Linked DNA regions of Schizosaccharomyces pombe. The gene in region 2 interacts genetically with the main gene of each other region. Each region holds a gene or a part of one and is shown on either strand. Other genes may lie near its edges.

Region 1 (8,442 bases), on a different chromosome or scaffold from region 2:
ACCTCTCTTCTATTTGTGATAACTTTAAAAAAAAGTTGCACAAATATCGATATCGCCTTGGAATTACACCGAGTTAGGATATCCGATTTGCGTTGTTGGAGAAGGGCAGGGAACAATAGTAGGACCATTCACTCATATGCAGTATTTCATTATTAATGGGGCGCACCCAACACGTTAAAATAATAAAGTGCACGCTCAGTTACCTTATAACTAGACCAACCTTTTAGTAATGTTCAGCATTTGCAATGCAAGTCTGCTTTAGTATTAATGAACTACTACTTCATTTAAATTATAGTTAAAGATAAGGAAAGTTGATATTTTTCATTCAACCATTAATCATAATCAAGGTCCGTGCATTTGTTAACGGTAAACTGTTGAACATGTGAAAATTATATATATTTACTTTAAGCCTTTGTTCTCATTGGGTTTAAAAAAGCAACTAAAATACATTAGGAAGAAAAAATGAAAGAGCAACAGGATGTAAGAAATAAATTTACATTTTCACTAGCTTAACAATGAGAAAACACAAACAGCCAATTTTTTACGCGTCTGCTACGTGATTGAAATGGTAGTTAGAAATGTATCTGAACTCTTCACCATTAGATATTTACATTGTGCATAAATTTAATTATCCAGAAAAAAATCAGCTTAATACTCTTATTAATTCACTGACTTAAAAATTACTAAGTTTTGTTTGGAGTATTTAAAAATTGCTGCACAAGTTAATCGACAAAGTAAATATAAAAATTCAACTTACCGGTAAATATGTTGACACAAGAGCCGCGATACCCATACTGATCAAATGTTAACATCCATAGAACTACATTAATGCAATGAATTAGGATTACTTACAAAGCCATTGAAGTCGGAGATGAGCTGGGAGACGTATTTGCGTTCAGTAAATTTGAAAAGGTTAGGATAAAAGCAACCCATGCAATTAATCTTCTCGTTAACATGAAAATCCTAAAATATCTTACATACTTGAAACGAAGAAATAAAGCAGCCATACACGTGGCTGTGCTTACCAAACTCAAGCCAACTATAATAGGGTTAGCAAACTTAATAAATTATTTGACGAAAGAAAGGATTTAAAATATTCCACAATGAACTAAAGCTTGAGCGATTAAATCAGCGTAACTCACGATTGGGTTCAATTTGAAAGTGCTTTCTACTTTACCTTCTTCATTTGCTTTGACTCTAGCTTTGTAGGGAACGATTAAATCAGGTCGTTTAAGTTCTGCAGGCGCCATATTTTATGAATTTTCGTTGTCGAGACTTCAGAACTGGTGAATGGGATGGTTCCTCTACAAGAATATAATGAAGTTAGTAATAAAATGTGTAAAATGGTTTTAGGTTAGGTTATTTAGCATTCAAATATATCGTGGGGGTTAAGAGTTCTTATCCCACTAAGAATTTCAACTATTTTAGACTTGGCTAAGCATTAGAATTAAAATCGATTGCAGTACCACGTGGGGGCTTTAGCAAGTCATAGGAGGAAACTGATCCTACTTGGCGAGTGAGAAATGGATTTCTTTTAGCATTCTAAGTCTTCTATATAACAATTTAAAGCTCAAACATAATATAATATTATTTATACTATTTTAAAAATTTAGGAACCAAGCCAGGTGAACTTAAGAAGTTCAAAGAGCATTTAATCGTTAGATGAAATAATAAAAAAAAAAATTACACTCGTTCACTCGTTTTCAATTTTACGAATAGGTTTGGCAGGTGATCCTACAGCCAACGTATTAGGTGGGATGTCTTTTGTAACAACAGCACCCGCTCCAATTACACTGCCTTCCCCGATAGTAACACCTGGGAGAACTATAACTCCCATACCAATCCAAACATTGTCCTGAATCTTGATAAAATTTTGTTTGTTAGTTGTAAGATGTTTCAATAACTGGACTAACGCATACGTTAATTGGTAAACCAAATTCAATTCCGGAGTTCCTTGCTTTAAAATCCAAGGGATGTGTTGCTGTACATAGTTGAACCTGGAAAGACACCATTAGTATATTTATTTTTTGAATGAATGACTTGAAAGTAACTATATATATATATAAACATACATTGGGGCCTAGCATTACATTATTACCAATAGTAATTATGGCAACATCTAGAAATGTACAATTATAATTTGCAAAGAATTTTTTTCCAAAATGAACGTTAAATCCGTAATCAAAAGCCATAGGTGGCTCAATCTCTGGTGCTGAAGATTCGTCAAATACAAAAACTTCAGCCAACAGTTCAGCTCGTCTTTTAATCAATTCTGCTGGGCCTACATTTTCCAAATCTCCCATAGTGTCATTAAACCTTCGCATTAATTTTTTAGCATTACATCTCGCTTGAGTCAACTCCTCGTCGTAAGCCTTGTACCTGTTATTTAGTAATTAGAATATCTCCCTGCGTTCAATGTGACTTCAAACATGTCAACGAAGATGATATATTAGCTCGACAAGTTTTAAGCATTAGCCTTACGGTTGACCAGATATCATTTTTTGGTATTCAATGGTTTTCGGTATCATTTTTTGTACACGAGTACGAGTCATTTCTGTCGGAAAACAAGTATATTCACTAGCATTGACAATGGGACTAGTAGAGTTATCGATGTATAAATAGACTTATATATATATATATATATGTATTGATATCAATATTAACAAATTGCTGATAAAACTATACGGAAACTTTTTAGTGAAATAGTTTGTAAAACGTAAGTAAAAACATCTCGATGATATATAGCGTCAGCTGTTACACTACATTATGCCCCACTATGCAACATATCATTAATTGTCGCATTGCTTTATGTCTGGCCCCTACTCGTATTACCACCAGCATACCAAAATTTATCAAGTTACAAGTAAATAGTTAGTGTAGCTTAACAAACGCTGAGGGCCGTAAACTGACAAGCAATAACAAGATATGCAATGAACGTTGTCCGTCCCTTTTTTAATCTTGCTTTCCTCCTGTATCATTAAACTGATTAAACTGGGTAGTAATCCCAAACTAATGTCATATAAAAAAAAAATTCAAAACAACTTAAATAGTACATCAAACAAAAATTGATAAGTAAATAAGCAATAAATATGATTTAAAAATAAATCCAAAGTGTATTTATTAATCGCCCTTGAAGTGTAAATGGCATATCGTGTCAGATTAAATGCTCAATTTCTGACGGCTTCGGTTTGCTGCGCTTAAACATTTTGCTTTAGTGTTAATAAATTTCAACTATGGGATTTTTTCATCCTTCTTCATGATAACTAGATTATATGAAAAAAGCATCTTTAAGACAACCAACAATGTTTTAATATCAGTAAAGTGCGTCAAATTTCGCATCATTAAACAAATAATGTCACTTATGATTAACTGAGTCATTAGCAAATGAAATGTGAATTTACGGGTTAAATACTATCATAACTTTTAATTAATACTTATCAAGATAAAACTCACTGTAATAATGTCTTACAAAGGTCGGTAAACAATCTAATTAAACAAGGATCAGATAATAAATTGATTAAACACAAATTTTAATTTTTTTATATTGATATATAAAAACGGTTAACAAATTTTTCCATCAATAAAAAAAAAATGAATTACACTACGTTTCAAAGTTATAACTATTTTTTTATAACAAACATCAACTGAAAAGCAAGAAAATCTATATTCAAAAAAATAATATAAACGCTACAAAAAATCAAACAGTAAAGGGTTTCGAATTGCTTTTCTCTATAATTCAAATGAATTTCAAAATAATTGGGACAAGTTGCCAACACACACGCCATACTAATTTTGTGATACTTGCTCAACCAAAAATATGTAGCACCACATTCTCTATTTAAAGATTAGCGCAGCACAAGGAGCCGCTCGATAAAAGTGCTGCTACAAACGTTCAAGAACACAAGTTTATTCTTGTACCACAATTCAAGTGTTGCTATTGTTGTAAAAGGGCGTATATCAATCGGATTCAGTTTTTGCAATAAGTCTGACTGAAAAAAAAAATGGCGTCAGTGGAGGATGCCACGAAAGTTCAAGAAATGCTGGATGCGTTGAAGGCTGAATACAATGCTTTGGCTCATCATAGCTTCGCGTCCAAGGCGCGCGGAAACGACTATGAATCTTCTAGTACGTGTTTGAATAAAATAAATTAAATTAGCTATTTTTTGGAAACTAACATTCTGTTCTATTGCAGTGATACAATCTCAAATTCAAGAAATTGAAGCGTTCCGAAAAACCGTGGATGATATGTATGAAAAACAAAAATCTATTAGAGAAACGTAAGTTTTTATATGTTAAAGGTATCGAGGGATTATATAGTATCTACTTCTTTTCTGTGAAATTCATCATTATTTTATAATAGCATACGTGTCGCTCGAGATTTATATGCTTGAAGTAAAAAAAAAAAAACCTTTATAACATCTGTCTTCACCAATTTACTAACATTTATAGGTACGAAAAAGATATCAACAAGTTGAAGCGAGAGCTTGAAGAATTAGGTGTCGAAGCGAATACCGCAAGTTATAGAAATCGTGGAGAAAGATCTGAACTTGCCGCTTCTAATAATCAAGTTACCCATATTGATCAGGAACATCCCTCTCAAACCAAATCTACTTCTCAGCCTCCAAGTAACCATCTACCTGCCTTTCAGCAAATCCCTCCAATTCACCAATCAGCTTATCCTCAAAATAATGTTGCTGAAGTATTGATGCCTCCAATTCCTCCTTCAGTAGAGGCTTCTAGCGGGCAAAATTTTAATCAGGGAATTGCTTCTCAAAATCCCGCGATATCTACATCCAATTTACCTAGTACTACACCTTTATATATCCCTCCTGTTAATTACGGAGCAAATCAGGTTTCTCAACAACCAAATCCTCAATTGCCTGGTGTTTCCAATTATTATAATCCAAGTGCTACTTCAAAACCTGCTGTGAATGTCCAGCCACCGCGTATTCCTACCAAAGCAACTCCTTCGGCTGAACCTTCTATGACTGCTTCTGCGAATGCTGGTTCTATATCCCAAGCGGGTCCTGATGGAGAATATCAGGGAAGAGAACAGATTGCTCCAGTTTCAGATACAGAAGCTGCTAGAAAGACAACTTCTCAGAGTTGGTACGTCACTTATAACCCAGCATGCAAAAGGGTTTTTAATATTAATCTCGTGCACACACTAGAGCATCCCAGTGTTGTTTGCTGCGTTAAGTTTAGTAACAATGGCAAGTATTTAGCAACTGGCTGTAACCAGGCCGCTAATGTCTTTGATGTTCAGACTGGCAAAAAACTTTTTACTTTGCATGAAGAATCACCTGATCCTTCCCGTGATTTGTATGTGAGAACCATTGCTTTCAGCCCTGATGGTAAGTATTTAGTCACGGGAACAGAAGATCGTCAAATAAAACTCTGGGATCTCTCAACTCAAAAAGTTCGTTACGTATTTTCAGGTCATGAACAAGATATCTATTCCTTAGATTTTAGCCATAATGGGCGATTCATCGTCTCTGGTAGTGGCGATCGAACTGCACGACTCTGGGATGTGGAGACAGGTCAATGTATTTTAAAGTTAGAAATTGAGAATGGTGTGACGGCAATAGCCATCTCTCCAAATGATCAATTCATTGCAGTTGGTAGTCTAGATCAGATAATTCGAGTATGGTCTGTGTCGGGTACTTTGGTTGAACGATTGGAAGGTCATAAGGAGAGTGTTTATTCTATTGCCTTTTCGCCCGACAGCAGCATTCTTCTTAGTGGAAGTCTTGATAAGACTATCAAAGTCTGGGAATTACAAGCAACTCGTTCAGTTGGCCTTTCAGCTATTAAGCCTGAAGGTATTTGCAAAGCCACCTATACAGGACATACTGATTTTGTTCTTTCAGTAGCTGTTTCACCCGACAGCCGTTGGGGATTAAGCGGATCGAAGGATAGAAGTATGCAATTCTGGGATTTGCAAACAGGCCAATCTTATCTCACTTGTCAAGGACACAAGAATTCAGTTATTTCCGTATGCTTTAGCCCAGATGGTAGGCAATTTGCTTCGGGAAGTGGTGATTTACGTGCTCGCATATGGTCAATTGACCCTGCATCTCCTTGAATTTTTGTTCCTGTTTACATATAACTATTTGCTCTCGGAAATAGTTAACCGCATTGATTTTTGGTTACAAAGTTTACAAACTAAATTTTGTAAACTCTATTACTACACTGGTATATTTCCTTAATTTGTATCATATTTTTTTTGCAATATTATTTCCTTTACTTACGGTCACAATAGACAAATCATCACTCAGTTTTTTAATGTCACTAATTTTGGAGAATGGCTTCTCTCATAAATTAACTGAGACACTTTTTATTTAAAAAATAAACAATTAATAAAAAATTCCTTAATTTTTAATTTTAGTTCTATGATAAATGTTGCATAACTTGAGATAATACTTAATACTTTTCAATGTAGATTCTTGAAATACATGTGGTTGATTAAACATTTTTTAAATGGTTATTCTTGTATTTAGTAATTTGCATATCTCCACCTTGACTCCGAAATTCACCAACAGATTTATCATATACTCGCTAAAATTATGTATGTATTAACCATCTTCTGACTTCTTCAACGCGAAGAAGACTCATTGTTTCGATTTTATTGACTAAAACATAGAAATTGAATAAATCCTAATCGATGCTATATTGAGGTGTGCTTTTACAATCCGTTACAGTTCGATATCTGCACGTTTCTTAAGGCTATCTTTTCAGGAGTTTATAATAATCCTCCACGGCTTAAGCAGTCTATAATTTGGGTTTACTTCATTAAATCTTTAATTTAGCACTTTTTAAATATATTTAAAATCTTAATACTTAAATCGGTGCCAACCCAGGACCTATATTACGTTTGGGTTAAAGAAAAATTGTCGTTGTTTGCTGCATCGATTTATATCTAAGCTATGAAGGCTTTGGATATAGACACGATTCTCACCCAAATATCGAATCAACAGTCATTGGATAAACGCTACAAACGCATAAAAAGGCTCATCAACAATGAGCAGTTTTGTAAAAATGTAATCCTACAAAAACTTGTTGATTCCACTAAAGACATTATTGAAAATAAAGTTCACGGAAACATACTGGCAGCCACTATTTCCTTATGGACTCATGCAGCTGAAAAGCATAAAGAAATGTCTTCCGATGACCGTGCACTATTATTCAACGAGCTGTCAAAGGTTCCGAATTCTGAATACTATCCTGCTACTGTAGACGCCTTGATTGTTATTACATCCCAAGGCGAAAGAACTGAGTCTTTTTCAAATGACATACTTAAAGTTTTGTCTGAATGGTTGACTGATTTATTTACGATTATTGATGATATGCGAGCTCAGTCGAGAAAATCCTTCAAAGGAAGTGCTGAATTGAGAAATTACACCCGTTGTTTTCGTCAGATAATTCTCTTGCTTACGAATATGTTCAGGGTGGGCTTTAATTTATTTGATGAAATGGAGGTTTCTTCTATGCTAGCGAATTGTGTGTGGGTCTCAAAAAGCACCACCGATGAAGAAGACATTGCATTAGTTTTTTCGTTATTAAATTGTATTATATCCTATGGTCGCATATCTTCCGCTGTTTTGTATTCTATTGTTGAAGTAGTATGTCGAGCAAAATTTGGCTTAGTCGCAAGCTCACAATCAGCTCAGCAGATTGTTGAGAAACTGTTGAAGACAGCGACCAAGTACGAAGCACTTAATTCCCTAAAACGGATAATGGAAGAGACAGATGAAGGTTCTTATATAGCGATTATGGGTGGTATTCAAATCGTGAGTGCTCTCTTTACCGATATCCCTAGATCAGTGTATTGCACTAGAGGAATGCTGCTTGGATTCCTTCAAAGATCCTTAAAGAATAAATCTAGTCGAATAGCTTTAGAAACCACTCGTTCTTTATATAATGCTTTGGAGCGCCGTTCTTTTGTTGAAGTGCTTTATGCAGATGAATGGATCAGCCTTTTAGATTTGCTTGTTGAAATATCTTCATCACTTCCTAAATCTCTCAATTACCGACCTGGAACTTGGCAGCACATTGAGCCTAATATAATTGAGTCTATTGCATCGTATCAATTACAACATCTTCTTTTATTTAACGAAATTTTAAAACCAGACTCTAATCATTTTGTTCTAGAGAAGTTTCATGAGTTCCTGAAAATTAATTTTTCATATTTAACCCCTACACTTAGCCAAAAGTTGTTTACTGTTCTTGATTTACGATCACAGTTGCCATATTCGGAAGGATGGCTTGAGGATCAAACAATTCTACTTAAATCTTATTTTGATACTAGTTTTTCTTTGGATTTCCATGTCTACTTAATTGGTCTCTTTAGAAAAGTTCTATTTGCTTGTCCAGTTGAACTTCGCCCTGAAGTGTATGCTCGAATGCTTTGTCCCTTAGTGAAAAGTTTGGATAAATCTAGTT
Region 2 (9,597 bases):
ATAGAGGATCAGTGGGGATAAACTTGAATTGCACAGATAGCTCGCCAGCAAATTGGAACTCATTTTTTAGTTCATACCATTCACTTTGTAACTCTTCTTTCATCGCTTTCTCAAAAGACAATACAGTATCACCAATCAAGTGTGGATGCTTTCGAAATCCCTCGTGAAAAACGGTTATTTTCATAATATGATAAGATTCACTGGGAATGTTAAACTCCAGTACCGCATTCCACGATGGTTCTTGACCGCTTCTCTTATCCGTTTGCGTACGTTTTACCACCTCACCAACTCTGCAAACGCAGTAAGGGCTTTGTTTGCCCACTAGAGCCTTGTTTGGTAAATTTTTCTAAAGAAGACACGTTAGTTTTACAAAACAAATCTTCATCTTTTAAGACTTACAGCTTTCCATATTCGGACAACCAACGTTCCAAGAGGATTCTTTGACATATGGTAGATGGAGAAACGGGTTATAAACAAAAAAGCTACTTTATACAATTCGAGTGCGGATTTTAAGCAGTGCAGCGCAACTTCTGTAGGAGGGGGCTGGTTTGTCTCCGATAACGGGGGTTAGCTTTCGTTCATTCATTTAACGTAGCTTACTGCAATTTAAAATGCTTTAACGGAAATTTGTGTACGCTACGATATTGATGGCTCCAGTTAGGAAATTCGTGAAGAAAGATGCCGTGTTAAAAAAAATTAAAAATTAACAAAAAAAAAAAAAAAAAAAGAGAGACGAAAGTTATCGCAAACAAAAAGAACTTTATTAATATAACTAATTGCATTAATGATTGACTCAGTACACACCACACAAATATATTCACTTAATTTTAATTGTTTTAAAATGAGTGTAAAATATCTATTGGTATAACCAATTCCATCACAATTGCTAATTGAATGGAATGATTTGCATAAAATGTTTCTAACTTAATTTTTTTATTCTTTTATGTTTCACGAATACAAATTTATTTTGTTTTTAAAAAACTTCATTTTCTTTGCTTATCTTTTGGGTAGTTTTCGGATCCGTAATCCCAACAAAATGCCAACCCGTATTGACTAATAAGTTCCCGAAAATGTAAGCAAAAGATTTCATTGTAAAACAAATGAATTAGCTATTAAAACTGTTATTTAAATGTTGTAAGGGTTGGTATGTTATATATACAATCTAAGTCTATGTAAAGACTTTTTGAAAGATCCTACTGTACAGAATTCTCCATAATTGAATTCGTGACAAGTACTCATAATATTTGAAACTTGTATATTATTTCTGCGTATAACCTATCTTTATTTTTATTTTAATTTTATTTTTTACTTTATTTTATTTTATTTTATTTTATTTTTTCGTAGGTCTTCTGGAACTGCTGGATCTATTCATACATTGCTAATTACTCAGCGTACGTACACATCTTACAAACACGCAGAAGTCCAACCTAAAACACTTACCTACATACAACATAATATCAGAAATACACGCAACGATTTAGCTTCATCAAAGATATATTATTTATTCATTCATCGGTTAATATAAAATAAGCTTGAGTTAAGAGTGAAATAAGATTCATGGCACTATACACAAACTCACCATTTTTACTACATATTGCTAACATCATATTTGCTTAAAAAGCACGCACTCCATGATATACCAATAACATCCTACTTTCCGTCCATCCTTTCCCATTCCCCAAACTATCGATACGTTTCTTAACGATACGATAACACAAAATACAAAACTACACAGCAGTACTTTAAGTATCGTCTTGCTCGGTTTATTCCAGACCCATTTCCTTGTTACCCTTCTTCAGAGCCCCGCACGTGATTGGTTAAGTTCAATCATGCAAAGTGATGCAATGACGTCATCTGTTTGAAACAGGTGGAAGTGTGGCACTAGGAATTTACAACTTACCCTTTACTTACAACATAAGAAGAAAGAAACTACTTAGGAAATTGCTAAAAAGTTTACTTTGAGCACTTTTTGAACGATTGAATTGACGAAAACCATTTTTCTGTTTGTAAATTTCAGTTTGGACAGTTGACCGAGTCTTTTCATCATTTATACAGTAGTCATCGCTTAGTTGGATCTGAATTACGAATTCTCTGGTTCATGACGACGACCTGCTACTAGTACGTTTGGTTGATTAAGTCAAATAGGTATGTGTTTATACATGCAATTGTGAAGTTTGATTATGTAAAAGGCTGTAAAATTGGAAGAGCGTGATAAAAACGTGACGGGTTGTGTTGAAAACCGAATTTTTATGAAAATTTGAAAATTTGCTCCTATCGTCATTGACCCTACTAAACATGACGAGTATGACGCTTTCTTATCAATAACACTGATCGTTATGGGGTTGTTAGTTTACAGGAAACGTAAAATGTGTTTGGAATTCCTTCGTTTTTTGAGGGTTTGGAAATTTTTTTTTGGTGTTGTTGTGCTAGAAAATTTTACTTGTTACCATTGTAGGTTACTATTGCCTTGACTGAACTGGGATCTATGTGGTGGCAACTTTTGATGAATGATTTCTCGGAAGTGAATAAACGCACACGGGAAGAGAACAAGAGTAGAAAGGAAGCTAGAAGAGCGGAAAACCCGTTTTGTCTCGTTTTTGGCAAAAAAATTTCCAAAAAAGAAAAACGGGTGTTTTAGCAGGTGTATTTGCTGTTGAAGTACGAATCTCTTTATTACTCTACGCTTGACTGTACTCTCTCACATTAAGTTCTGAAACTCATTCAAAAAAGGCCTCCACATTCATATAATCCAAATCAACACACCCTAACAAAAACGATCGAACGAAGAAAAGGAAAAGAACAAAGAGTAGGAACATCCCTTTTATCTTTTGTAATTCTTTATTAGTTTCTTTGTTATTTTATTTGGACATGTTCTTTTACAAACTTGACTATTACCTTTGCGAGTTTTTTTTTACCCTTTGTAGAATATCTTCCTTCACAATCTTGCATATCTAGTCTTCTAGCTTTGCCTGTACAGACATCTAACTAATTCTCGTCTAGAGCCTCCGTCGCGGTTTTCCCTTTTTTTTTCGAGAAAGTTGTATTTTTATCTCCTTAATCTCCTCCTCCTTTTTTTTTCTTTTCTTTTTTATTGAAACAATATAGTTTCTATTTTTTCTGCTTTATCAGCCGTTATTACTTCTGTCTTGTCAAATTTGGAAAGCCATTAATTTCTTGTAGTTGTTTTTTTATTTAGTTTTGACAAAACTATTTTCGATCTTCTCTTTAAACGGGTTCATCTATATATCTAAATTATTTATTTTCGTTATTTAAGCGTGTGTGATTTTTAACGTCATCTCTTAATACATTTTGTCAAGTGTTAAAGCATAAATTCTTCAATTATGTCCCCGTCTCCCGTCAATACTTCCACAGAACCAGCATCTGTTGCCGCTGTTTCAAATGGTAATGCTACTGCTTCCAGTACTCAGGTTCCGGAAAACAATCAATCTGATTCATTTGCACCACCAAGCAACAATTCTCAGCAGAATCAACAGTCTTCAACTATCGCTCCTAATGGAGGGGCCGGATCTGTCGCTAATGCGAATCCAGCTGACCAATCCGATGGTGTAACTCCGTCTTTCGTAGGCTCCTTGAAGCTGGATTACGAACCCAACCCCTTTGAGCATTCATTTGGCTCTACCGCTTCGGTTGGACAAGGAAATCCTTCTCTTAATCGTAATCCTAGCCTTAGTAACATTCCTTCAGGTGTGCCTCCTGCGTTTGCGCGAACTCTCTTACCTCCTGTTTCTTCCATAGCATCACCTGATATCTTAAGTGGAGCTCCAGGTATTGCCTCGCCGTTGGGCTATCCTGCTTGGTCTGCTTTTACTCGTGGTACAATGCATAATCCCCTTTCTCCTGCTATTTATGATGCTACTCTTCGTCCTGACTACCTAAACAATCCTTCAGATGCATCTGCAGCAGCTAGATTTTCTAGTGGAACTGGATTTACTCCTGGTGTTAATGAACCCTTCCGATCTCTTTTAACCCCTACTGGAGCTGGATTTCCCGCTCCTTCACCTGGTACTGCCAATTTATTAGGGTTTCATACGTTTGATTCTCAATTTCCTGATCAATATCGTTTTACCCCAAGGGATGGTAAACCGCCTGTTGTAAATGGGACGAATGGTGACCAGTCTGATTATTTCGGTGCCAATGCTGCGGTTCATGGGTTATGCTTACTCTCCCAGGTTCCCGATCAGCAGCAAAAGCTTCAGCAACCCATCTCCTCTGAAAACGATCAAGCAGCATCCACCACTGCCAACAACCTCCTGAAGCAAACTCAGCAACAGACTTTCCCCGACTCTATCCGGCCATCTTTTACTCAAAATACTAACCCCCAAGCTGTTACAGGTACAATGAACCCTCAAGCATCTCGTACTCAGCAACAGCCTATGTACTTTATGGGGTCGCAACAATTTAACGGCATGCCATCTGTTTACGGCGATACAGTTAATCCTGCCGACCCTTCATTAACATTACGCCAAACCACGGACTTTTCCGGACAAAATGCCGAGAATGGATCCACAAATCTACCGCAAAAAACTTCTAATTCTGATATGCCAACGGCAAATTCGATGCCGGTCAAACTCGAAAATGGTACTGACTATTCCACTTCGCAAGAGCCTTCTAGTAATGCCAATAATCAATCCTCACCCACTTCTTCCATTAATGGTAAGGCTTCTAGTGAATCTGCCAACGGCACTTCGTATAGCAAAGGTTCATCTCGCCGGAATTCCAAAAACGAAACTGATGAAGAGAAACGTAAAAGCTTCCTGGAACGCAATCGACAAGCTGCTCTTAAATGTAGACAGCGTAAAAAACAATGGCTTTCTAATCTTCAAGCGAAGGTTGAATTTTATGGTAATGAAAATGAAATTTTAAGTGCACAAGTCAGTGCATTACGTGAGGAAATTGTGAGTTTGAAGACCTTATTGATTGCTCATAAAGACTGCCCAGTGGCCAAGAGTAATTCGGCTGCTGTTGCAACAAGTGTCATCGGAAGCGGTGATCTTGCTCAAAGAATCAATTTAGGGTACTAGACTGTTTTTGATCTGAAAAGGTCTCAGTCTGTGATGGTTGTAATGAAGAATAACGTTTTTACTTCCCTTTGACTTTCCCTCCGTTGAGGGTTGTAACGCCCTTTTCCATGCATTTAGCTATGTTATGGATGTGAAATTATATATGTTTATTTTACATTAAAAAATCTTTAGGCTTCTCTTTTTATATTTCTTCCCGTTTTCCATTACTGTTTTAATTTTGCACTGAACGCCGTCCCGCATGCATACTTTTAGTACTTTATGAAGTGATAAAATTTGTCTGTCGTGTCTAGTTCACTATAATATCGTTTGGACAACAAAAACTACACGCTTTCTTAATGTTTACCATTCATCACATGTGGCAGAGTTATAGAATACTACTTATAACTCATTCTTATGAGATTGATTTGATTTAATAATTAAAACTATATTATTTAGTAAGAATCAGCAGTGTTTTTAATAACAACTGATTACTGTTTTCCTTTAATGTAAGAAATCAACAAGTCTTAGTGTATTGTGGGAGTATTAATATCGTGAACAGTATATAAATCAAGTTAATGAATAGGTTTGTCATCGGTCATTTACATATCTATTATCATACGAACATGCATTCATAAGATGAAATCAAGTTAAAATTTGCACCTTCACAATATTTACTTTACTTAGTGAGTGTTTGTCGCTACATTGAGGATGTATACAAAAAGTGAAAATGAAATTACTGATGTTCACATTACAAAACGTATATAAAAATGCAAACGTTTGTTTCAATTTAGAACGAACTATTCAATTCTAACAACAATTAATAAAAAATAACAAATTAGAAAGCTTAATAAACATGAGATAAACTTGTTGAACGATTGATTAAACACAAATCTAATCATGCAACGTAAAAAAAAATAGACAACAATCAATCATCCAAAAATATATATTGCATAGATGTTGAATATTCAAACACTAAAAGAAAGTGTAGACATAATTAATTCACGAAGCTTTAGTATACAAATCAATGCTTATAATTTTTATCATTTGTTAAAAGATGGAAAAAAAAAACAAAGAAAAAAATACAGCATTGATTTTACCATTCGGCGGGACCAAAGAATTCACCTGCTGACTCATTGACGAGTTTCCTAACAGCGGCACCTGTAGCATCCAGCGTATTAAAGGCACCATCATTACCCCACCAATCTGGGAAATTAACCATAGGCAACTGTAAGCAAAAGAAAAGTATAATGACCGACAACTGCGTACCAGTATCAAGAGCAGCAGAAAGCGTGAAATTGTATTTCTGCCACCAGTCTGCGAATATCTTCTTCAGATAATAATTGAAGAACAGACCAATTCCAGACCAAGCCAGATAGTTTACAGGAGTAGCTGGGGGAATATAACCAGTACCTCCAAAAATTAGCGGGCCATTCAATTGACCCCACCATTTTTGAGGCCATTTCTTCCATAGAGCCCAGAACAAAATTGTACCCAGCACGCCAGCGAGCCAGAAGTACTGCAATCCCGTATAGGTGTTTTTTCCAGAAAACATTCTCTTGGGACCAATTACACCCCAAATAACGGAAGAATTAAAAAAGACAGTTGCATTAGGACAAGTGTAATTATCAGGTTGATCGGCCTGGCAAACATTATCAATATTACCCAAAGCCCAATCCAATACGCCGATCTGAACAAAGCAAGACCATATGGTGGCAATCATTTGGGTGTAAAACATGATTCTGGGAGGAAGCTTCATGTAATGACCAAACTTCAGATCGGCAGCGAAAGCCAATCCCTGAGTCATTGTAATATAACCGACAGTCTTGAAAATCATCATGGCCAAAGGACGACCAGGATACATATAACCAACGATAAACTCGGTGAATACATTCAAGCCTAGCTGGATGTTGGTTATAGCTTGAACGATGCCAATTGGAATGAACCATACAGCAGAGAAAATGACACCGACAATGATAACCCACCAAGGGGTTTCCGTTTTCCAACCATAAATAGTACCCATCATCATGCCGAAAAAGGCCAAGAAAACACTCAAATACCAATAGAAGGGAACTTCATCATAGGCTTTCATGAGTTTTTCATGGATATCAGGTGCGGGTGGATCGCGTAACCTGTCGTAGATCTCTTTTCCATGGTATAGGATCACGTGGAAAATGACAGAAGTGATGGAAGCGAAGGAAAGGCCAAATGCCAAAGCGTAGGTGGTGGACATGAAAATGGGAGAATAGTTTTGATAGGCATCCAAATCAAACGTAGCATCCTTGGTGAGGATGCGAGTAACGTTATAGCTATTACCAAAGTGATCGATAATACCAGAACTACTGATCGGTAGGTAATCACCATACCACGTGTTGGTAAAGTTAAGGGCTGGAGTGACGATCCAAAAGAATAGAATGACGCCCAAAAGAATGTTCATCAAAGCATCGGCAGGAGCCATGAGGGGGGAAAGAATGTATGCGGAAATTTGATTCCAATCAAAAGTCATGGGAAGGATGGAGATTCCGGTGGATTCACCAAAGATTTGATTTACAGTTGGACTATTAGGACGAATCCAAGTGACCCAAGCAAATAGGGAAAGGGCTTGGAAAATGTAGGAAGGGAACCAATTCCAAATGAATGAAGCAATAAAAACGTACAAAAAGAAACGGAAGGGGGAAATTCTCCAGCCATTGGCAACGGCGTTTCGTAAGTCTTTGCGATGTAAAGTCTTGATCAAGGTGCATTGAACGAGATTCACAGGCCACAACATACTAGCAGGACGGACCAAAAGTCTTCTGGATAAACCAGCCAATCCGTATCCGATAAGTTGAGTGGCCAAAGTCAAACAGATTTCGTAGCCAAAGCCGAAGCGCTGTTTGTAGTGTACACGTTGGGCGAGGATGATATCGGTGGAGTAGGCATTACCAAACGATACACTCGACATAACGACGATGAGAGCATGTTCTTTAACGTTAAAGGGACCAGGCTTAAAATTAAACTTTAAACGTCCAATGCGAAATTCGCGATCGGGGAAAATCAAGTCCCAAATCTGTAATGCTGGGTATGCGAGAAGCTCGGAAATCAAAACACTCAAAGTGACGGTTGGGTTTCGAAGGGAAAAGAACATGTTGACGGCGGCACCAACGGTGGAATAGATGAGACCAATGGTCCACATGCGAATGGTGTTGCATGGCATACTTGGATCATCGGTAGGAGGGACGGCGGCACGAACCTCTGGATAAGGAGAGTCTTCCTCAAACTCGTCAACCGTACTAATTTCACCATGTTCGACATCGAGAAAGGACTTTGTGTCTTTCTTGATGTCTTTGGATAAACTGTCATCGGAATGGCTAACGATGTAATCAGAGATGTCGACGGAGTCGGCCTTTTCCTTTGTAGAGGGGGAGTCATTCATATGCTCCTCGATGGGAGACTCATTGATGGAACCGATCATTATGGGAAGAAGGGAGGAGAATCAAGAGAGAGAGAGAGAGAGAGAGAGAAAAAAAAAAAGTCAAACTTGATTCACCAAAAAAATAAAAAGAAACAAACCAAAAATGGTTGAGAGAGAGAAATACTAGAAAAAGTTTTTGCTTAGTTTTCGAAAGAGAGGAAACAAGATTTTCCAAATAGAATTGACGAGAGACGAAACGAAAATGATGTATTTATGAAACGAAACGAAACGAACAGTGCGATACGATAAAGAAATCACAAAAAAATCACTACGAAACTTCACGGTGATTGAAGAAACGAGCAATGGATGGGATTTGGAAAAAGAGCAAAGTGTTTAATACTTCTTCATCAATAAAATTCGTGAAGGAAGAAAAACACCTTTATGTTTTTATGGAATCAACGTCCACGTATGTAGAGATAAAAATGTATACAAGATGGTTTTTATAGACTGTACAAAAATAGTATAGTCTAGAATAGAATAGTATAGTATAGTATAGTAAAGTAGAGTAGAGTATAGTCTAGTACAGCAACAATAACAATTTAGTTTTTGTTTTTTCTTTAACTTTCCTTTTCTTTTTATGTTACAATGGTTTCCAAACTTTTAGTATCTTGGAGCGGGCGGGGGGATTTAGCTGCCGAAAAACGTGCAAACAATAATCGATGTTAATTTGTTCAACTTTTATTTTGAGTTGACACATGGAGGGATTTTCACCTCTATATATAAAAGGGAAAAAAGGTGCGGCATTTGATTTTTTCCACTCGTAATCAATTCATTGCTCTTTCTTCCTTCCATGATAACCAACCCTTTCGCTCATTGTGTGTGAAATATGAATCAGAGATAAAGTCCTTATTACATAAATGGGATGCAGGAGATGACCAGTCAGTTCTATTCTATCTTGATAAAAGTCGTACTGTTGTCATGAAGGGGTCAGGGGCGGCAAAGCTTGACGATGGAGAGAGAGGAAGAAAGCACAATCGACAAAGTAGAACTGATAAGCAAAGCAAAGCAGAATTGACAAAGCAAAACGGAATTGAAAAAAGCACAGATGATGAGGATTCAAAGGGATGTAAAGCTGAAGAAAAGAAAAGAAAAAAAAAAGAAAAGGAAAAAAAAGAGGATTTGTTT
Region 3 (8,411 bases), on a different chromosome or scaffold from region 2:
GGAAATTAGCTGTTGAAAAATATGATCGATACAATCCTTAAGTCCCGGGTTTTGAAAATTGACAGACAAGAAAAACAACATATTATATACAGGAGAAACAACACAATCATCAGATTCCTTAGAAAAGCTTTCAATTACTGGAAAAAGGAATTTCGAACACAAAATGGGGGCCGAATTTTCATCAGCAACAGAGCAAGCATCTTCCACAAGCTTAAATAAAAGAGCTCGATCTTCAAGATCAAATGTTTTGCATTGGTAAATACCAAGTAAAAATTCAAGGTTGAATACCCAATATTGATTGCAAGGAAATATAAGATTGTAAGTCTCAAAAAGACGTAAAAGTTTTTTTCGAATTTTCGGCTTTAACACTGGAAGAACATCCTTCAAAAAGAATACCAGCTTAACCTGAAATTGTTGCAGCAGTGGAATCAAGGCTTCGAAATCCAAAAAATCCAAAACACGATCATATATATTAGCAAATGCTGCAGTCTTCGAAAATGCTTCCTTCGATGTACTAGCTTTCAAAGGTAGATATTGTGAACAATACATTAAAATATTAAGAATCCGATGCCAATCCAAAAAATTAAGGCGATTTAATATAGAAGGTGTACGTAAAAAAAGATACACAGTACCAAGGATCTCAAAATCAACATTCTCATTAAATCCTAATGGAAACTCAGTAAATTCAATACTTGAACTTAAAGTTATAGAAGCTATTGCATCATTTTTCACTTCTTGCAGCATGAGAAAACGCATTAAACGCACAGCGCCCCGTACAGCATTAACATTCGAGCGATTGTATTGAAGTATATTAAATACGTTTTCAAAAGCCAGATTTGACACGGGACTACTAATAAGATTAAATATAACAGATTGTGCAAGTTTCGAATATGAGTAGGTGCTGATGTATGTGCTACACAAAATAAGAACAGTATCATACAGTGAAGCTTTTGGAATAACCGAGTAGCGAATCATGGAATCAAAAAACATCAGAACCTCAGTAACCACATCTTCTAAGCGAGCGTGATTACATATTTGTACCACGGAATTAACAAGCTGTAGCATTTGAGGTTCAGGCACTAGGAACCACTGAAATTTTACTAAGTTGGTAGAAAACTTAAAAAGGCTTTTAAAAAAAAGCAAATGTACGAGCTTTGAATCTGCGTCTTTGCCTTGCAATTCAGTTGCTTGAGATTGCCATTGAAGATACTGGTTAAACCATGCACTCAACAAAGGACCAACCCTATTCTCAATACCGGAGATTTTGTGCCCTTCATCCGTTAAAACACTCAAACTCTTAAGCCGAAGCTGTAATTCAGCAATATCTTGAAAAGGATCTTTCTCAATAGTTTGAAAAAAAGTGTGGCGCTCTATAATCGAGAGATGCTTTTGTGTAGAAACATATCTCATCATAAGATTGTATACAAGCTCCCGAAAAGCAGCATTATCGTTTTTGGTGGAGATAAAATCCTGAATATTTTGCCATACTTGAATGATAGAAGTCGATGAATATATATAGTATTTTAAGCCATGGTAAATACTCCTTACAATCTGATGCCTTTTTTTAAAAGGAAGGTTAGCATCAAAATATGATAGAATGTCTGTATCTTTGATAGCAGGCTCACTAGAAAGATCCAAAAGTGATTTATTGTTCATCTATGTGGCCTTTATTTTTCAACGTCAATAAATTAGGACCTTCAGCAGAATAACCACATAAAGCAAATCTGAACTCTTAACTTAATGGAATATTCAAGATCATAAACTATGAGCATGGAAGTTGATTTCAAGTATTAGCTACACTGGTAGGGGTGGGGAGGAGAGCTGACAGGCTGCTATGAATTAGGGGAAGCATTACCTTATCTAAGAGGAATAGGTTGAAACGACATTAAAACTAATAAATAGAAACTTAGTATTCGACATTCAAAATTCAAAAAATATATGAAGTTATTTAACCGTAAAAACCAATTGCTAAGTAGCTAGGTCGCGCAAACATATACATAACTTGAAGGGTCTATTAAATATATACAAAAGTTGGGATTTAATAGTTAATGAAATACTATGGATAAAATCAGAGTTTCGGTTGTCGGGGATTGTATGGAAGTATCAAAAATTAAAAAAAGGGAATTGAAATGATTCAAGAATTAGCAAAAACATCTGGTCGGCTTGACTTGATAGAAAAATTCCGACCAAAATAAGCCGCAAGTTTGAAGGGTTACAAAATCGGTTATGAATTTTTATAAAATAAAGGAAAAAAGACTTGCCAAGAAGCGAGTCTCACAATGGTCAATGGGCATTATTGGCAAATGAAGAATTAAAAAATTAAGTAGGTTTCGGACATTGTCATTCAATGCTATAAATGAAACATCGCTAGTTCTTACAGATCCTCATAAGACCAAATTCTTGCTCGTAAGTCACCACTACCAGTAGCAAAGCAATGGCCATTCGGGCTAACAGCAACCGATATTACTGAGTTATTGTGTCCCTGGAGAGTTAACTGAGAATGAGGAGAATCGGGGGACCAAAATTGGATGGTTCGGTCTTTCGAGCCGCTAATAATCCATTTTCCATCCGGAGAGACAGTGACACTTAGAATAAAATCTTTATGTCCAGTAAAAGTTTGCTTGCAAATACCGCCTTCCTTATACATGCTGGGTGCAACGTTGGAGACGCATTGCAACTCCCATAACTTAATTGTGTTATCCAAACTTCCACTAACCAGGTATTTTCCGTCAGGAGAGAAGGCAACGCTGTAAACACTCTCTTCATGACCATGAAGCTGCTCTACTAAAGTTCCGGACGATGTCCAAATCCTAATTACCTTATCTAAAGAACCTGCAGCAATAAATTGACCGTCGGGAGAAAACATTACTGTAGTAACACCATCATCGGTATGCAAAATTAGTTTTTGCTCGCCAGCTTCAACATCCCAAAGACAAACAGTTCTATCTCCACTACCAGAAACCAATGTTTTTCCATCTTTGCTAAAATCAAGGGAATAAATTTCTTGCTCATGCCCAGTCAGTAGACGATAAACACGTTTTTGAGCGATGTCCCATATTCTGATTTGTTGATCTTCGACACCAGTAGCAAGGTATTTACCATCAGGACTAAATGCTACACTGCGAACATATAAATCACCTTCACGCTTCGAAGATTCCTCCTGCAGAAGCGTAATTAATTTACCGGTCTCCACATTAAAAACCATAGCTGCTCTGTTACAACCCGTAGCCAAAAATTTTCCATCGGCACTAAACCTTACATAACAAATAACGCTTGTGTGTTCCAGTGTATGAAGTAGTTGAACAGAGATCGGGGGTTCTTTGTTAGGTACATTGCTAGTGACAGTCCAATCTTTCTCCTCTCTATTAGGCACATTGGATGTCGGAATAATTTCAGCAGGATAAGGAGGATTACCTGAGACTTTTCCGTTTACAACCAAAGGAGCAGCGATAGGTGTGACGGAAGAATTAGCTGAGTCAGATGGAGGTGGAGGATGTCCGAGCGGTAAATTGGAAGGAAATGCTGTGAATGGTAAGTAAGAAAATCCAAATTAAAACGAGGAAGCAAAATAGTTTCGGCAATAGTATTTTGTTTTACAAAAAATGAACAAAAGCCGCAAGGAATTCAAACGAATTAATGACAGCATTAAAAAATTGTCTGGGAACATACGGTGTACAACATACCAGATGCAAACAATAAAGTGAAAGACAAAAAGTATCTATAAACTTGATCAAGTCAAAAAACAAATGCTGTTGCCAAAAGCTACAATGCAAGCTTGAACTTACTTCGCATAGCAGATCCAGCCATGGTTGCACCCACAGCAGGGCGTACATGAGGACTGGAATAATATTGTGAACCAAGATCTACGTTCGAGGTCTGAATAGGAGCTAAAACAGTACCATCTGAATCAATGGCAGGTGATCGAAGATTTTTAGGAGTTCCTCCAGAAGAACCGTTATTAAGTATCAAAGGTTTCGAGGAGTTGTCCGAGTTAAAAGGGCCCGCATTTCCATATTTTCCAAAAGAAACGCTATTGCGCCCGTGTTTAGTTTTCGAAGACTGTGGGACGACGCCAGAAGCAATTTCTTTGCGTCTAGCTTCCAGTTGAGCTTTTAAGGAGGTGATTTCTTCTTCGTAACTAGAGAGAGTTAGTAACAAGAAAGATAGCTTTCGAGAAAATATAATATAAAATTGAGAATAAATGTTCACATAGCAGAAGGCATGCTGGTGCTGACAAAAGTGTGAAAAGGACAGAGAATCTTCGAACAGTGATAAACATCCAAATACTGAGTAAAAAACGAAATACCCTTCATCGGAGTAAAAATATGAAAAGATTACTTAATAGAATTTACTCCCATCAAAGGAGCCACCATTATTTAGCATCTTTAAAGATTTATCGTCAACGACCGTAAATTGTATAAATATTTAGAGAGGAATCGCTTTTGTAAGACTCTACAACACTCACAATAATTGCATAACCTTGTACTAATATAACAAACCTTCTCGCCAAGCGTGTATTAGGAAAATTGACATACCGATCCTTCACTTTAGACTGCTGCATCTCCAAATCCATAACGGTTTGTTTCATGAGCGCCATTTCATTAATTTGTGCAGATATCATTGCTAATTTAAGAAGTGTTAGATTTGTACCGCAAATTTGTCAGCAAATTCTTGTATAAGATACCTTTATATTCAAAATCATCCTTTTGAGCTTCAACGGTTTTAGTTTTTTGACAAATATCTTCAAATTCCTTTTTAACCGCTTCTAAAAGCTCATTTACACGTGATGATACATTGGACGTCGCCATAAATTGAAACTTGAAGATGGTAAAAGTGAATTGGCGGACAGTAATCATGAATGATGTTGTTTGAGAAATAACGAGAAATAACATTCGTTAATTTCGGTAAAACCTTCTCGGCTTCGAAGCTAAAGTAAGCAAACTATGTTGAGATTAACATGTCAGGAAAGACAATTTCACTTATGCTTAGCGAGACAATATTGTTGAATTAGTAATTTGGCTGTTCATTCAACTTGCCGCAGTTGGAAAATGTAAAATCATTAATTTGTGATGAAACCTCGTAAAACATATTTTTTAACGTTAATCGATTGAAACCCTTTTTGAATTAGTTCGTGAAATATCTTAACTCTAAAACCTTGAAAATCTTTAGATAGAAGATCCTTTTTTTTTTTTTTTGGGAAGAATATGAAGCGTTTTGATACAATTGGTAATAAAACATTATTTGGTATTGGTTTTTATTGGAAGTTTAGTTTTACAAAAGTGTAGATGTCATAATCCTAATATGAATTCTTAAAGTCAATCAAGAAAACTATTTTATGGGTATTTTGAAACAAACTTACTTTAAGGATGAATTCCATAGAAGTTAACGTAATTTAATTTCATCTTGATAGTGAATAACTTTGAAAACACTATATGCTATTTCCAGAAACTAGTCTCGAATTTTCATACGCCATAGACGGCCTGCTCCTCAGCCCATTGACTTAATTTACTATGATACACTTCCTAGATTTATTGAAAGGGTTTGTTTGCTTGGCATAAATATTCATTTAGTATGCTACTCGCAAAAACTTCAATTTTAAAGCCGCTTTGAAGAATAAGTTATTGCTGGTGGAAAAAGCTATCCTAGAGCATCTGAAAACTACCACTAACATGAACAGAATGTAAAGCAAATAGTACAAAAACAGATATTGAGCTGTGCAGTAAACACATAAAAAAAACATTACTTGAATGGAATGTTTTTACTTATATATGGCACATATAACAAGAGTTGGATAAAAGGATTAATACATAACGTTAAGACATTTAAAAAAAAAAAAGAAAAAAAACCTCACAAAACTTAATATTCGTAAGAATTTTTTTGTAATCATGACAAGGAGCCGCGTTCTTTTGAAAGTGGTTCAGTAAAAAGCATCGTTTGGTTGTTAATGGGATAAGGATTCGTACGTGCCGAAATTCGATTGTGATTTCCATTTAATGAAGAATAATGACAGAATCGATTTCCCGAAGTACGCATTGGTAAAGAAGCAGATGAAGGTATGATAGGAACAGATCCTCGACGCATATTCGAGAGTGGAGGAATTGGAACCTTGGGTAAACGACCACCAGAAGCGTGGTTTTCAGCAGCTAAAGGATTTTTACCTTTCGCAGTGGCGGCATAGTGGTCATAATGACCTCCATGCGGAGTCGACATAGCGGAATAAGCGCTTGACTGAATGGCATTGCCCATACTCTCCATTGACACGGCCTGTTGAGCATAAAGCGGGTTTTGAGAGGCCAGTTCTGAGTTTGAATTAGTTACATGATAACCCATATTCTGGTTCCAAGAGGTGGATAAGTTTTTTGGGATAGAATTGGAAATAAAAGAGTAATTTTCATTGACATCGGGTTGCGTGTCAGACGTTAAAAATTGTTTGGAAGCAGCAAGAGACATGTTATAGGAAGATTGGTCAATTGAATCAGTGTTAGAAGACGGCTGTTTTGGCTGCAAATACTGTGATTTTTGGTCGACATAAGGACCTTCTCCGTAATCGAACAGAGCTTGAGATGGTGATGTGAATTGAATTAAATTCAAATTAACAAATGAATTATTAGCATTGGGATTCACAGGGTTAAAGGCTAATCCGGATGGATTATAAACATCATTCATATACTGTGGAAGAGTCTGTAAAAAGTTTGGGTAGGAATGACGAGCAGCCATCTTTATCGGAGGCTGCTCAATATTTTCATTTAAGGCATTGTTTGAAATTGACTGCAAAGCCGAAAATTGCTGCTGTTGTTGAAAAGATGAAAGATTAGACTGATTCCTAGATATTGCAGAAGAGAGAGAAGAGGACTCTACACCAGAAATCGGAGAGGTAGAAAGAGTAAGACCCTGAAAATGGTAAGGATCAATCTCAGCAGTGGAGGAAGAGAAGAAAGGGTTATAAGGAAAAGACGGAAGAGTTCGCTTTTCTAGCGTACTCAATTGAGAAATCTTTTCAGATTCCGCAGCCTCAACCAAAGGAGGAATACGGAAGCTTTTGTACTCTAATAGATCTTTTGAAATGGTTAACTGTTGAAACAAATTGAACGAGCTGGGCGTTTGAAGTTTCCCATTGAGCACGTCTTCTGGGGTATAATAAGATATGAGATGGTGAAGCCGACCATCAATCATTAAAGAGATAGTTTTTTTAATCAGGCCACTCTTTTTAAAACCGTAAGAGTCGGTGAGTGAGCCCACCAAGGCTCTTTCGGTATCATGGAGATAGGAAAGGGAAGAGGAGGAACAGTAATGGATGGATGAAGTGGAAGAAATGGATTCACGCCTGGTCTGAGGGGCCCTGGGATTTATGGGCGCGGAAGAAGTGGAAGCATTGGAAACATTGGTGGTGGATGGAGATGAGGACGGGGGAGACTTGGGGACAAAGGGGGTACCAGTCGGTTTGGAGGAAACAAGGGGCAACGAAGAAAAGGAAGACGGGAACGCAGCACTTGTGGTGGGACTAGTAGGGGAAAGCACATATTCATTTTTAACAGCGGCAAATTCGGATTTGATGTCATTGGAGCCAGGGGAGGAAGGATTCTGCTGAGAAGAGGCAGAAAAAGAAGAACCTGGAAAAAGGTTGTCACTAAGCGAAGGAGCAGACGGAGAACTAATATTGACGTGGGAAGCAACGTCAACGTCGACAGGAACAGAAACGGTAAAAGCGGAAACCTCCTCTTCGTCGCTGTCGGAGCGAGACTTTGAGCTTCGCTTACGATCGGAAACGGAATTCTTCTTGCAAAGTTGCCTGTACACTAAAAAGTTGCCAATGACCCTGGAAGGAGACCAGGCGATACCATCGGTCCAGCGTTTTATACCGGACTGAACCTCATCAAAGACAAACACACTTCCCGAACGAATGAGACGTTCGCGCTCACGATCTTGGGGACGACGGTCGACAAAGTGTGTATAGTTTTGACGACAAGCCTCAAAGAGCAAGAGTGCATCGACAGTAGTGCCAATGAAACCGACAAATGTCGGTTGAAGATTGCCAGGTTCGGTCATGAAAAAGGAAAGAAACGAGGCAAAAGAAAAAGAAATGTATAATATGGAATAAGTGAGAAGCAATGGATGCCAAAGAAAAGAAAGAAAATAAAAACGAACAATTACTAGATCTTAAATGGCAAGGCAATGTTTCGATAAACAACCCAAAAAGAAAAAAAAATGAAAAACAATAACAACAACAACAGAAAGGGGGTAAGAAAAACTCAAGAAACAGAAAGGAAGACGCTTGAGAGTAGAAGAAAAAACAAAAGGGAAAAATGTCGTAAGAGAAACAACAAAGAAATATGAAATGTACAGTAGAAAGTGAGAGATCAATCAATCCACTAGGCGACACAAAATCGTACCAGAAAAAATCGATCAATCAA

Evidence for each region. Genes that interact genetically often act in the same process or in processes that back each other up.
Region 1: of atf1 (region 2) and tup11, changing one suppresses a phenotype caused by changing the other (phenotypic suppression), as found in Schizosaccharomyces pombe (2 studies listed by BioGRID).
Region 3: of atf1 (region 2) and tup12, changing one suppresses a phenotype caused by changing the other (phenotypic suppression), as found in Schizosaccharomyces pombe (2 studies listed by BioGRID).

What each region holds. Positions count from the first base shown.
Region 1 is NC_003424.3:297,271-305,712, reverse strand, and holds tup11 (transcriptional corepressor Tup11), read left to right. Parts: upstream 1-3,916; 5' UTR 3,917-4,001; coding exon 4,002-4,125; intron 4,126-4,192; coding exon 4,193-4,277; intron 4,278-4,301; exon of another isoform or gene 4,302-4,449; coding exon 4,450-6,085; 3' UTR 6,086-6,435; downstream 6,436-8,442. Other genes in the region: protein pat10, read right to left, coding at 684-713, 758-794, 853-942, 982-1,039, 1,178-1,250; SPOM_SPAC18B11.09C (serine O-acetyltransferase activity), read right to left, coding at 1,694-1,861, 1,920-1,997, 2,073-2,379, 2,482-2,552; SPOM_SPAC18B11.11 (GTPase-activating protein), read left to right, coding at 6,927-8,442.
Region 2 is NC_003423.3:1,544,320-1,553,916, forward strand, and holds atf1 (Atf-CREB family transcription factor Atf1), read left to right. Parts: upstream 1-1,897; 5' UTR 1,898-2,145; exon of another isoform or gene 2,146-2,541; intron 2,542-3,000; 5' UTR 3,001-3,341; coding exon 3,342-5,042; 3' UTR 5,043-5,543; downstream 5,544-9,597. Other genes in the region: contractile ring-membrane anchor Fic1, read right to left, coding at 1-346, 400-447; plasma membrane OPT oligopeptide transmembrane transporter family Isp4, read right to left, coding at 6,115-8,472.
Region 3 is NC_003424.3:372,309-380,719, forward strand, and holds tup12 (transcriptional corepressor Tup12), read right to left. Parts: upstream 4,830-8,411; 5' UTR 4,809-4,829; coding exon 4,685-4,808; intron 4,624-4,684; coding exon 4,536-4,623; intron 4,139-4,535; coding exon 3,786-4,138; intron 3,523-3,785; coding exon 2,375-3,522; 3' UTR 2,008-2,374; downstream 1-2,007. Other genes in the region: Rheb GAP, tuberin Tsc2, read right to left, coding at 1-1,656; gluconate transmembrane transporter inducer Gti1, read right to left, coding at 5,884-8,046. UniProt on the Schizosaccharomyces pombe protein: Transcriptional repressor.